Cricetulus griseus: one gene and its partner. The protein of the gene in region 1 purifies or fractionates together with the protein of each later gene. This does not show direct contact. Links are inferred from orthologs where the notes say so. Each region holds a gene or a part of one and is shown in the gene's direction. Other genes may lie near its edges.

Region 1 (7,193 bases):
TTTTACCAAATGTCTGTACGCGCAGCTGCTACAACAGAAGTTTGTGCCAGACAGGCGGAGTGGATATGGGCTGCCACCTCCATCACATCCCCAGTTCCGAGCCCATGAATTGGGCATGAAGTTGGTAATGTTGACCAAGAAAACTGCCTAACTTACCTCCCCTCCATCCTTCCCTCTCTCCCTACTTCCTCTCCTCCCGCCCCCCACCCCCTCCTCCCTTTCCCCCTTACTTTCTTTCTCTAATATGAAAGGGCTTTAAGGACTGGAGAAATGGCTCAGTGGCTAGAAGTGCATATTGCCCTTGCAGAGGACCCAAGTTTGATTGCCAGCATCTATATCTGGTGACTCACAACAGCCTGTAATTCCAGAACCAGTGAGTTCCCAGGCTTCAGGCCTCTGTGAGTACCTGCATTCATATGGATGTACCCATCTACACACATACAAATAATAAGTAATTTTTAAAAAGACTACACATAGAAAGACACTCTTGACTTGATAAAGATATAAATCGATTCAATCCTTATAGGAAATCATTTCCCACTATTTATCAACACTTAAATTGTACCAAACATTTTGCCTGCCATTTTCACCTGAGTTAATGAATGGCACAGCATAGGAACTCTAGAAATAAGCCCTGCTTATGTGAGAATGTAGTAAAATTCATCAATTCAGATCAGAGCGTCAGGAGAATTACTCAGTAAATACTGATCCAATAGCTGTGAAGCCTTCTGAGAATAAAAGGTCAATTCCTTCACACTTAGGACAGAATAAATTCCACTGGGATTAAATAATTTAATGTAAAAATGGAAACTGTAAAAATTAGAAAATATAGAAAATTATCTGACTAGGAAAGGCCTTTTCAAGCATGGCTTGCAACCATAGGCAATAAAAGATTGATATAATTTGATGATGTAAAGGTTTCTAGCCAAGTGCAGTGTGCATCTGTGGTCCCTTTAGAGTCCAGCAGCCAGAATGCAGCCTGGGTGACAGGTAGCAACACTGTCACAAACACCAATGTAGCAGTAGATGGAAGAAGAGAAATTCTGCTTGGAAAAGAAAAATGTCATGAACTCAAAAGATACCAGAAAATCTGGAGAAGGAGTATTAGGTGTTCCTATAGAAAAGAATGCTTGGGCTGGAGAGATGGCTCAGTGGTTAAGAGCACTGGCTGTTTTTCCAGAGGTCCTGAGTTCAATTCCCAGCAACCACATGGTAGCTTACAACCATCTGTAATGTAATCTGATGTCCTTTTCTGGCATGCAGACATACATGCTGACAGAACACTCATACCTCAAAAAATGCGTAATAAATAAAATCTTAAAAAAAGAAAAAAAAATGGGGCTGGAGAGATGGCTCAGTGGTTAAGAGCACTGACTGTTCTTCCAGAGGTCCTGAGTTCAATTCCCAGCAACCACATGGTGGCTCACAACCATCCGTTATAAGATCTGGTGCCCTCTTCTGGTGTTCAGATATACATGGAAGCAGAATGTTGTATACAAATAAACAAATAAGATCTTTAAAAAAAAAAAGCTAACTGATTAATTTTAAATGTTCAGAAGCTGAACAGATAGTTCACAGAGAAGGAAGTACAAATGAATTTTAATTTAAACATGAAAAAGCATTGACCTCTCTACTTAAAAATTAATATAATTTAAAGCCACAAAATAGTTTTTCACTACTAGATTGGCAAATATAAAAAAGTATGGGAACATATACTGAGCTGGTAAGCATTTATAGGATATATAAAGGAAAAGGGTACTCTAACATGTGGATAGAAATAAAAATTTAGCTGGGTGTGGTGGCGCACACTTTTAATCCCAGCTCTTGGGCGGGAGAGACAGACCTCTGAATTCTAGGACAGCCTAGCCTGTGTAGTGAGTTCCAGGACAGCCAGGGCTACATAGTGAAATCCTGTCTCAAACACACACACACACACACACACACACACACACACACACACACACACACACAGAGAGAGAGAGAGAGAGAGAGAGAGAGAGAGAGAGTCTTAAGTTGATTCATTCCCTGTGAAAACCAGTTTCCACTATCCATCAACACTGAAATTGCATTGACCATTTTGCTTATCATTTGCACTTCTAGAAATGTGTTTCCAGGTTTCAAAACCACTAGACTTCTACTCAGGAAACATCATTTGTAATAGTGAAAACTTAGAAAACACCTAAGTGCATGGAAGAATAGATAAATTACGCCATGTTTGTGAAGTGAAGTTGACAAATTGATGTGTGCCGGTAGGAAATTCTCTCCTTATCATGCAGTTACGTGCAGTAGAGTGTGTGCTGCTGTTGGGGTGATGAGAGGGTAGAGAAGGATGGCACCAGTATTTACTTGAGTGCACAGATTACTTCTTAAGGGAGGTGCCGGACTTAGGTAATGACTTTGAATTATTGTGCCATATTATTATCATTTTTTACCAAAGGATCTTAAAACAAAATCATTCTGTTCTTTCCTGTGTCTGAGAATATGCTCAACTTACTTTCACATTGTTGTTACATTTTCATTGATCTATTTCGTGTGCATGGCAGGGTTGGGGGGAGCCTGCCATGGTGCACAGTGGGGGTCAGAAGATAACTTTTGCGTTGGTTCTCTTCTACCATGTGGGTTTCAGAGATTGAACACAAGCCATCAGGCTTGGTGGCAAGCCCCTTTATCCACTGAGCCATCTTGCCAGCTCAGAAACAAATTCTACTTTTCGTATAATTTAAAAGGTGTTCTAAGTGAAGCTGGGTATGGTGGTGCACACCTTGATCCCAGCACTCGGGAGGCAGAGTTTGAGGCCAGCCTGGTCTGCATACTGAGTTCCAGGGACAGCCAGGTATATATACTGAAACCCTGTCTGAAAAAAGAAACTAAAAAGTGTTCAAGTGTTCACATTTCATTGTGTCCAGTCATCTAGTTCTTGATAAGGGCTAAATGGGAAAAATTAATTTAAGATGACAGAGAAAAAGAAAATGCAAGAATAACAAACATTCTTTCTATCTCATCTAGGCTCATGGATTTGAGATTTTGTGCTCCAAATGTAGCCCACATTTTTCTGACTCCAGGAAATCCCTTGTGACTGCTTCACCCCTCTGGGCCAGCTTCCTTGAAAGTCTGAAGAGGAATGATTACTTTAAGGTGGGAATTGTGGTGGTTGCTTCTTCTTATGAATGTGTGTGCATGTATGTGTTATTTGTGTTCTTACACGTGGTGGGGGCCAGAGGGTGGGTAGAGGCGGGGTCTTCCTCTCACTGAACCTGGAGCTCACTAGTTGACTATACTGGTTGGCCAAGGAGATTATAGGCCAGCCTCATCTCAGAGAAATAAATCGAACACCACCACCAAATCCACCCTCACAGGTGGTGGATGTAAACAAATGAGCATGATAATGAAGATGATTAAAACTGAATGCTCCTATACATAGTTTTTGAGAGACCCTTACATTCGAGAATGTAATAGGCATGAGTATGCTCAAAATGCATTAAATATACATACAAGGATATCAAAAATAAAACCCATTACTATATATATTTATCATCTGCTAATGAAACACTCACTAAAATCAATGGAATTTGAGGTCAGATATGGTACTACACACATGTAATCCCAGCTCACCAGAGACTCAGACAGGAAATTCTAAGTTCAAGGCCTGTCTGACTGTGTAGCTATTTAAAGGCCAGCTGAGCCACTTACAAAATCTAGTTTCAAAATAATAATAAAATTGGTCTGGGAGAATAGCACAGTGATGGAGCACCCTCATATTGTGTAGGCACTGTTCTAATGACCGGTATTGTGTTTTCAAGGGACTGATAGAAGGTTCTGCTCAGTACCAGGAAAGACTAGAAATGGCAAAGAACTACTTCCAGCTCTCCATACACCGCCCGGAAAGGTGAGCTATAGCTACCACCCACCACAGAGGAAGGCAGACTGCTGGTTGGGTAGTTCTTTTTAACTAATATGTTTTATAAAATGTCATGGCTGTATGTGTGTATAATGTGTGTATGGATACAGACATGAGCATGCCACTGGGGGAATCAGTGTTTGAATCTATATTATAGATATTTTTATTGTTGTACATAATTTTAGTTAATCATTTTTCTATGAGTATATTTCTTTTTAAAATATTTATTATTTTTATGTATGTGAGTGTTTTGCTTGTATGTCTGTGCACTGCATGCATGCCTGGTTCCCTAAGGAAGCCAGAAGATGGTGTTAGGTCCTCTGGAGCTGGGTTACAATTGTTTGTGGACAGTTACAGCCATGTGAATGAGTGCTGGAACTGAATCTAGGTCCTCTGGAAGAACAACCAGTGCTCTTAACCTCTGAGACACCTCTCCAGTCCCCTACAGTTCTGGGTTTTTGTTTGTTTGTTTGTTTTTTGAGACTGACAAGTGTATGTATTGTTAGACACTGAGGCCAGGAGACTCACAGCCTAAGTGCTCACAGGCTGCCCTGGCACTGAGCACAGGGGTTTGCCTGGCCTTAAAGAAGCCCCACCCCCTACAGTTCTTTATGACACAATATTTAAGGAAATGGATTATGCCATAAAGCACACAACTGTTTTTGCTACTGAAGAAAATATACAAGCTGCTAAACATCTAATATTTTAAGCAAGTGTGATGGTTCATGGGTGTAATCTTAGCACTCAGAAGGCTGAAGCAGGAGGATCACTATGAGTTTGAGGCCAACTGGGCTACATAATTTTTAGGTCAACCTAGCTCATAAAGAGAGATGTTGACTCAAGAAACAAAACAACCAGAATTTGAAAGTTTCAAGGGGGACTCCCATTTCTCACATTAGCCATTTTTCAACAATTTCATTTTGATTTGCTTTGTTTTGGTCTTTTGATATTTAAGTCAGAGTCTCACTATGTATCCCAGCTAGTCTTACATTCTTGTTCCTCTTGCCTCCTCCTTCCAAATTCTGGAATTAAGAACATGAGCCTCGGGATGGGAGTGAGGGGAGGGAGAGGGAGCAGGGATCGACATGTGAAACAAGCTTGTTCCTAATTTGAACAATTAATAAAAAAAAAAAAGTAAACAAAAAAAAAAAAAGAAAAAAGAACATGAGCCACTGCTGGGTGGTGGTAATGCACGCCTTTAATCCCAGACTTTGGAGGCAGAGGCAGGTGGATCTCAGTGAGTTCCAGGACAGCTAGGACTATTACACAGAGAAACCTGCCTTGAAAGACAGAGAGAGAGAGAGAGAGGGAGAGAGAGAGAGAATATGAGCCACCAAGCCTGGCCTTTTAAACTATTATAAACCAAACTCCTATCTCCCTCCAGACCTGTTCTTGAATCCCAAGTCTTAGATGTCTTCTTCATTTATTTAGACTTGTTTCATCTTCTGTCTATGCCTGTTTTGCCTGAATGTACGTTGTGTGCCATGTTTGTTCCTGGTACTCTTGGGTCGGGAGAGGGTATCAGATCTCCTGGACCTGGAGTTACCAATTTGTTGTGAGCTGTCACGTGAGTGATGAGAGACAAGTCTGAATGCTCTGCAAGAGCTAAGTGCTCTTAACCACCGAGCCATCTCTCCAGTCCTTAGAGCTTTTTAATTTATTTATTATATATACAGTGTTCTGCATGTTTGCCTGCATTCCAGAAGAGGAAACTAGATCTCATTATAGATGGTTGTGAGTCACCATATGGTTGCTGGGAATTGAACTCAGGACCTTTGGAAGAACTGTCAATGCTTAACCTCTGAGCCATCCTTAGAGCTTTGTTTTGTTTGTTTGTTTTTAGAGACAGGGTTTCTCTGTGTAGCCTTGGCTGTCCTGGAACTTGCTCTGTAGACCAGGCTGTTCTCGAATTCAGAGATCCACCTGCCTCTGCCTCCCGAGTGCTGGGATTAAAGGTGTGCTCTACCTCCATCCGGATCATTGTAGTGTTTTAAAGTGTATATCCACTGCAGAACGGTTAAATCTAAGTAAAATGTGTATTACCTCATATATACTTGACGATGTACTTAAAAAATACAGAGTGAATTATAAGTGTTCTGGGTGCATGTGTGCCACAGCATACTTGTGGAAGTTAAAGGGTAACTTGCAGGAGTCAGTTTTCTCCATTCACCATGCAGGTCCTGAGGGTCAAACTCAGGGCATTGGGTTTGGTAGCAGGTGCCTTAACCCACTGAGACATGTTTCAGGTCCCATCTCTTCTTTAAAGGGAAAAAAAAAAAAAAAAAAACTTGTCCACACCCCAATAAAAGTAATCAATTGCCCTCTTCCACATCTCTTTAGCCTTTGTTGTTCTTAAATGATTGTATTTTGCCATAAAAAAAGTCACTTTTAGGGTTTTGTTTTACTGATTATCAGTATCTTTTTTTAGTTCATACCAGCCTCAAACCTTCTGTATAGCTGAGACTGGTTTTAAAGTCCTGATCCTCCTGTCTCCACCTTTCAAGTGCTGGGATTACAGACAGACAGACAGACAGACAGACAGACAGACAGACAGACAGACACACACACACACACACACACACACACACACACACACACACACACACACCTGTGCTTTGTCATTTATTAGGATTTTTTTTTCTTGCATAACATGGGGTAGGGATAATTTATTATTCATGTGGCTTTTCAAAGTATCCAGCTGTTTATTGAATTTGCTTCATCTAAATAGTTCAGATAGTTTCATCAGTGTAGATAATAAGTCATGTCACCACCATAAGGAAATGCCTGTCTTTATTTTTTGTAGTTCAGTTGCTATGAGTCCAGGTGAGGAAATCTTAACCGTGTTGCAGACACTGCCTTTTGATGTCGAGGAGCTCAAGAAAGAAGGAGCCGCTCTTCCTCCTGAGGATGGTGAGGGATGGGCACAGAGCAGAGCAGGGAGGTAAGAAAGGCCTCTCCTGTGGCGTGGCTCACCTGCCTTCTTTTTCAGATGACCAGTGGTTAGACCTCTCACCAGACCAGCTGGACCAGCTGCTGCAAGACACTACAGGCAGAAAAGAGTCACAGCCCATTTCCCAGAAGGAGGAGCAGAAGAATTATGATGTAGCACAGGTCTCAGACAGCATGAAGGCCTTCATCTCCAAAGTCTCAACCCACAAGGGGGCAGAGCTGCCAAGGTAGCTACACTAAAGAAAAATGCCCAGTTACGCCCAGTGTCGAAGTCAGCAGCAGCATCAGAAAGTACCATTTCCACTTGGGTTTTCTTCTGTTTTATTTTGTTTGAGTCTTACTGTGT
Region 2 (6,999 bases), on another chromosome or scaffold:
ATCTTCGCGGTAGCAGCTTCGGCGTCCGCGGTTTAGGTGAGACTGGGGGACGGCTAAACTTGTAGCGCTCGGTAGCAGGCCGACTGCGGGCTGAGAGGGTGCGGGAAGTCAAGGGACAGGGCTGTTGTGCGGCCTGGTCTCCCAGCCTCATCCAGGTCCCTGGCGAGCTCGGCCTTCCGCATGTGAGGAGCGCAATCTCCCGTCCCCTACCCATCCCCTGATCTCCTTTCTTCTGGGACGCTTCTTCCTTCTCTCAAAGGCCTGTCTTTTTTTCAGTCGCCAACATGCAGCTCTTTGTGCGCGCCCAGGGACTACACACACTCGAGGTGACCGGCCAAGAGACGGTCGCTCAGATCAAAGTAAGTGTATAATGTTCTTTTATCCCCAGACCCGCAGGTAAAACTCCTTTCTCCCCAGTGTGTGCTCCTTTATCCCCAGACCCGCAGGTAAAATTTTCCTTACAAATTATTGGGCTTTTAATTTTTTGTCTGTAGGCTCATGTGGCCTCACTGGAAGGCATTTCCCCGGAAGATCAAGTCGTGCTTTTGGCTGGCTCGCCGCTGGAGGATGAGGCCACCCTAGGCCAGTGTGGCGTAGAGGCCCTGACTACTCTGGAAGTAGCTGGTCGCATGTTGGGAGGTGACTGCTTTTTTACTGTGAACTAATGGAATGTGTGTAGTTATAGAATGTGTCAGCTCATTTCTGTGGCAATACACCTGTGCCTTCTAGAGTGGTACTGAGTTTAACCAGACTGCTTCTCGGGGTCCCCACTAAAATCAAGATCCAAAGTCGTGTAATGGCAGTGTATACCTTTAATCCTAGCAACATGGAAGACAGGCAGGCAGGTCTCTTTAAGGCTAGCCTGGTGTACAAAGCAACTTCCAGGACAGCCAGGGCTACACAGAGAAACGCTGTCAGGAGACAAAAGAGCAATAACAATCAAAATCTGGCTTCCTGTCTTTGTTTTGTATGTAAAATGTTAGCTAAGGATAGTTCTTGCCTTAGTAGTATATACATCAACCCTCAGCACTGAACAGACTGGCCACAGTGACATTGTGGTGGAAACCAACCTGGGATAGCTATTCTGTGGCCTCCATCTCTAATCTGTGCAACTTGGTTTCATTCCTTGTTGGACCCAAACTTGTCTTTGTCCCGTCCCCCCCCCCCCCCCCCCCGTCCCCCCGTTCCCCCGTCCCCCAGGGTTTCCTCTAGCTTTTGGAGGCTGTCCTGGAACTAGCTCTTGTAGATCAGCCTGGTCTCGAACTCACAGATCCACCTGCTTCTGTCTCCCTAGTGCTGGGATTAAAGGTGTGTGCCACCAACGCCCAACTAGGGCGTTGCTTCTGATCTGCCTTTCTTCCTTCCCCACACAGGTAAAGTTCATGGTTCCCTAGCTCGTGCTGGAAAAGTGAGAGGTCAAACTCCCAAGGTGAGTGAGTGCCAGAATTGTTATTTGCACTATTGCAGCAAAATCAAAGACCTTTGGTTTTCCTGTTTGTATTCTCTTTCCTGGAGAGGAATTGGTGGGAAGGATGCCAGGCATGGGAGAGGTGAACCAGGGTCTTACCAGTCAGTCCTTCCCTTTCCCAGGTGGCCAAACAAGAGAAAAAAAAGAAGAAGACAGGTCGGGCCAAGCGGCGGATGCAGTATAACCGTCGCTTTGTTAACGTGGTGCCAACCTTTGGCAAGAAGAAGGGCCCTAATGCTAATTCCTAAGTCCTTCTGTGATTCTTGCACTCTAATAAAGCCACTTTGCCCAGATGTGTTACTGCTTTCATCATTTGTGAGGCCTTAAGAAGAAATAGAACTTTTAGGCTAGTAAAGTGTCTCTTGGCCATTGGGAGTGATAAATGAGAATCTCACCACAGCGGGCAGAAGTGGTGCACACCTTTTAGGCCTAGCACTTGGGAGGCCTGAGTAGATGTAGCAGGTGATCTGAGTTCAAGGCCACCCTGGTCTACATAGAGACCCTATTTCAACCAACCAAACAGGTTCAGTGTTAGGCTGTTTTGGAGAGGCAATGATTAAAGGGAGGGGAGGCCTTGGTTAGAAGGTGAATCGGTTTTTACTGAATTTGGGACCAGCTGTACTATCAATAAAAGTTCAAAACACGGGCTGGAGAGATGGCTCAGAGGTTAAGAGCACTGACTGCTCTTCCAGAGGTCATGAGTTCAATTCCCAGCAACCACATGGTGGCTCACAACCAAACCTTATGAGATTTGGTGCCCTCTTTTGGTGTGCAGATATACATGGAAGCAGAATGTTTTATACATAATAAATAAAATCTTAAAAAAAAAAAGTTCAAAACACAAGGAGCATCGGGTCCCTCGGCATTGGAATTGTCTGATTGCACTGGCATCCTGATCTTGTCTGGCTGAACTTGATCACAACTGTGACTGAGAAGCTGATTAAATGGTTCCACCCTTAGCACCAGGCTTCCACTACACCCAGATCCCATTGCATCTTGGAATGCACCAAGGAGTAAGGCCAAAGAATAGTTGGACACTCCATTCCATTTAAGCTTTGTGAGAGATACTGGTCAAACTGTAAAATGCGCTGCAACCAGTGTCTAACCCATTGTAGACTCTGAATAGTGACTGTCTCAGACTCATTGTTTAGCCATTAGCTTTTTACTATAGTGGGTGTGGGTATTCCCACATTCTTGTTAGGACAGCATTCAGGAGTGTACCAGGGATTTGGAGGCAAATGGTTTTTATTAAGCCCAGGCTAGTTTTGGACTCTTAATATTCCTTTCCCAGCCTCCCAAATGTTACTAGACTACCACATGCTGTGTAGACTACCACACTTGGCCTGAGCAGTGCTTAAGGGTCAAATTCCCAACTCAGGTTCTTTGTAGAGGAAAAGTATGAAACTATGTAGTTTGCGATCCATGCATAGTGGCACATACCATTAATCCCAGTTCTGAGAGGAAGAGGCTAGCCTAGCCTGGTTTACAGCGCTAGTTCTAGGAAAGCCAAGGCTACACAAACCTCTGGTGGCAGTCAGGGGTTGGGTGGGGATGGGTGGCACAAAACAAATACTAGGAATTGAATTTCAATCCAACTTGGAGGTTGGGCTGCCCCAGTTTGTTATATTGATATGTTAAGTATCTTCGGGGCTTCTCTGTGGCTTCGGAGGCTGTCCTGGAACCTGCTCTTCAGATTCTTTGTCATGCCTGGTTTATGATTTGGTTCTTGTAGGGTTTTTATTATTTTGGGGGTATTTTCAAGACAGGGTCTTACTGTAGCTCTGACTATTCTGGAACTCACTGGGTAGACCTGAAACTCAGAAATCGCCCTGCCTCTGGGGACCTGGTGCGGGGATTAAATTAAAGGCGTGTGTCGCTACACCCCTAAGATTCTGGATTTTTTTTGTTGGTTGGTTTTGCTTAAAAGGTAGTTTATTTTTGCACAATTTGGTAAAACCACAGGGAACAAGCTGGGATCAGCGACATTAATCTTCTAACTCTCGAGAGCCACCGTGTTGGTTAGACCTTGGGCGTGTTCTGCGCATGCTCAAAAGGCTACTCTAGAGACGGAAGTTACCGAGAAGGTACGTCGCCCCACGCACAAAGGCGGAAATAACCGAAGAAGCACCGGAAGTGGCGGAGCTACGTCTGCTGTGTGGTGCCCGACACGCGGCGCCAGTTGCCATGGAGCCCGTAGGGCTCTGCGGCTTCTGCCCAGGCGGGGAAGCTTTGCCGGCGCGCTACACCTGCCCGCGCTGCAACGCGCCCTACTGCTCGCTGCGCTGCTACCGGGCGCATGGCTCCTGCGCCGAAGACTTCTACCGCGACCAGGTGCTGCGAGAGCTCCGCGGCCGGAGTGCCTCTCCCAGCCGTCTGGCGGGAGCACTACGCCGGCTACGCGAACAACGGGAGACCGAGGATGAGCCCGAGGAAATAGGCCTCAGGCCCGGCCCGCGGCCGAACGGCCTTTCTGGACTCTGGGAAAGCTTGTCACCGGCTGAGAAGGCGGCGTTCGAGCGGCTGCTGAGCCGTGGCGATGCTGGACGCCTTCTGCCCCCGTGGAGACCCTGGTGGTGGGGCCGCGGGGGTGGCCCGCGATTTATGGAGGAGTTGGATCGTGCCCCGGGCAGGGATCTTTCGGAGCCGGAGACCGCCCCAGAGAGCACCGCGCCCGAATCTGTGGATGATGCCGCCGCGGTGCCTCTTGCTGAAGACTCAAATGCCGCCGTGCCGCCCGCAGTGCCCTCCCGTATCCCAGCGCTGGCCAGCCTGAGCCGCTGCCCGCCCTCGCCACTCGTGCGATTCCAGCTGCCCAATGTGCTGTTCGCCTACGCTCACACTCTCGCCCTGTATCATGGAGGGGACGACGACGCTCTACTCTCTGATTTCTGTGCCACACTGCTCGATGTTTCTGGAGCCCTGGGCGCCCAGCAAGTCTTTGACTCTACGGAGGAAGCCCTGCAGGCCGCAGCCCACGTGCTGGAAGCGGGTGAACACCCACCTGGGCCCTTGGGTACGCGGGGTGCTATGCAAGAGGTTGCTCGTATTCTGCTGGGCGAGGGTCCTATCAACCAGAAAGGCTACACGCTGACAGCACTGGGGCACCTGGCCCAAACCCTGGGCCGAGCCCGGAAACAGGCTGTGGTTAGCGAAGAACGAAATCGCCTTTACCGGGCTCGGAAGAAGTGCCAGTTCCTCCTAGCCTGGACCAACGAAAATGAGGTTGCTCTCACACCACTGGCTCTAGACTGTGCCAGGGTCCACCGAGCCCATGCTGTCACAGCCGAGGAGATGGCAACCCTTACTGGGGAGCTGGAGCGGCTTTGGGGAGGCCCGGTACCACCTGCTCCAAGGACTCTCATTGAGGAGCTCCCTGGCTGAGCTGGGTGTGTGGTATTAATAAAGCTGTCACTGGTCTGTCCAAATGTTGGCAGTACCTTTATTTTCTTCAAAGACAGTACCCTATCCTAGACTTTCCTTGAAGTCACTGTGTAGCTGATGACCTTGAACTTCTGAGCCGAGCCTGCCTCTACCTTGACAGTGCTGGGATTACAAGTGTTAAGTCACCTTGCTAATTTATGCAGTGCTGAAGGTCAAAGGCTTCTTGAATGCTAAGCAAGCATTCTATATAACAACTACATCCCCCAGGCCTGAAGTGCCCATTTCTGAGAGAAACCAGTTGTTCCACGAAGCTACCCTGGACACACAAACCACTTCCCTAGTACAGCTTCCCTAGTCAGCTAGTTCTCTACCTCTCTCCCCCAAATCACTGACCCCAGAATAGAAGAAAAACAAGATTGAAAACATTTATCCAGCAGGGAAAAGTATTTTCATATGGGAGCAGTGGTTCCCTCTTCTTGCGTCAGACTCTGAGGCTGGTCATCCCTGCCAAGTAGAATGGGGTGCAGGCCCTTCACCCCACATGTGTTCAGGCCTGAGCTTGTTAGATGGCTCTGCCTCAGTAGACATAGGGTATGATTCGATAAGGCACACGTTTGCAGTATTCCTGCCAGGCACGGCCATACTTGCGAAGGCACTGCTGCTCATCTCGGGCCTCCCGGTGTACCAGCAATGCAGTGAAGTAAAGGAGGTAGAAGTAGGGCAGCAGGTGAGACACCCCTGTAGGGAAGGGGTTGCATGATGAGACACCAGCACCCGGTGTATAATGGCTTTCTCAGCTAATGACACACAGGGTGACAGGGTTCATCAGTGATACACGGGGTCCATCTCCAGTCACACCAGACTGAGCCTCCCTTCCCAGACCTACTCACCACAGGGCAAGGACCAGGCCAGAGCCATGATGAGGTCTCCCAAGTAGTTGGGGTGACGAACCATACCCCACCACCCAGATACCAGCAGCTGCCGTCCTGTGGCAGTAGGGATGGTTTCAAGACCTGGAGAAAGGTAGCTAATGAACCAGGGAGCCTCAAAGCCTGACCCTTCATCTCACCCATAGTCTCCAGGAGACCCAGCTCACCAGCCACACTGGGGTCAGAAGGATTCTTCCGGAATGTGTTTTTCTGGGAGTTAGCACCACGGAAGATGTAGTAACCAATAACTGAGAGAAAGTATGATCAGGTAGTGAGATGAAGTCCAAGCCTTCTTCCTCGCCCTGACAACAAGCCTGTCCAAATCCCAGGCTCTGTTATGACACCCAGGGGGCCAGCTCCCAGCTTTAGAGGAGCATCAGAGCCTGGGATCTACCTAATGGGCAGTGAATGAAGTATGAAAGAGGGAGGGGAAATGAAGGCCCTCCTACTGACCCTTAATAAGGCAGATGAGCAAGGCCATGGGCAACCCCAGAGGCTGTGGATGGTATAGCAGGAACTGGGCCTGCAAGCTGTAGGTGAAGGGTACCCAGGCTAGGTCTCCAAAGGCCAGCATGAAACCAAATCCATCATGTATTATGTCCATGGTGGTGAGGACAGACTCCTGCAGGGACAGGACCCAGACACACTGGCTTAGTCCAGATGACATCTTCAGGATCCCTTTCTCACCTCCCCTTCCAATCCAGCCTCACCTCATACCAGAGGGCATCACCCACATACAGCAACTGGAAGGCATTGACCAGCCACATGGCCAGTGAAGGACTCCCCCGTAGCTCTGCCTCCTGTATCAGCAGGGCCAGGTTAATAAAAACCTGAGGGAAGTGGGGACAGGGCCATTGTCTCTGAGTGGGAGCATCAGAGTGGAAAAGTGTCAACCTCTCCCCTCCCTCAACTGTCAGTTCACATGTTGAATGAATCTAGGTCGAAGCTGCCTATACTTAAAACTCCTGCTTTTGAATCTGAGCTTTGCCACTTGGGCAGAGTATATATCCTTGCTGAAGCTCACTTTCCCACTGCCATGTGGAAAATGGGGATAAGAGCCCTGTCTTGCTGTTTAAAGAAAAATATAATGCTTGCAGAGCTGAGGATTAGCTTGTCGTGAACCTGTACTTTGTACCCTTGTTTTAGTAGTTCCAGTGGACTAGGTAGCTTCTTCAGTAATACTGACATAGTACTTTCATTAAGGGTACCTCTAATTAAAAA

Evidence for each region. Proteins that work in one complex are often made in the same cells at the same time.
Region 2: the proteins of Ecd (region 1) and Znhit2 purify together in Homo sapiens (affinity purification with mass spectrometry; 3 studies listed by BioGRID and IntAct, counting the BioPlex papers as one, with this or other methods). This does not show direct contact. The link is inferred for Cricetulus griseus from reciprocal best matches to the Homo sapiens genes ECD and ZNHIT2.

Annotation. Positions count from the first base shown.
Region 1 is NW_023276807.1:200,643,685-200,650,877, forward strand, and holds part of Ecd (protein ecdysoneless homolog), read left to right. Parts: coding exon 1-124; intron 125-3,006; coding exon 3,007-3,135; intron 3,136-3,800; coding exon 3,801-3,886; intron 3,887-6,701; coding exon 6,702-6,808; intron 6,809-6,887; coding exon 6,888-7,074; intron 7,075-7,193. UniProt on the Homo sapiens protein: Regulator of p53/TP53 stability and function. Inhibits MDM2-mediated degradation of p53/TP53 possibly by cooperating in part with TXNIP. May be involved transcriptional regulation. In vitro has intrinsic transactivation activity enhanced by EP300.
Region 2 is NC_048596.1:53,288,019-53,295,017, reverse strand, and holds Znhit2 (zinc finger HIT domain-containing protein 2), read left to right. Parts: upstream 1-3,416; 5' UTR 3,417-3,652; coding exon 3,653-4,849; 3' UTR 4,850-4,893; downstream 4,894-6,999. Other genes in the region: Fau (40S ribosomal protein S30), read left to right, coding at 285-359, 495-639, 1,374-1,429, 1,591-1,716; delta(14)-sterol reductase TM7SF2, read right to left, coding at 5,427-5,587, 5,740-5,862, 5,946-6,026, 6,232-6,400, 6,489-6,608. UniProt on the Homo sapiens protein: May act as a bridging factor mediating the interaction between the R2TP/Prefoldin-like (R2TP/PFDL) complex and U5 small nuclear ribonucleoprotein (U5 snRNP).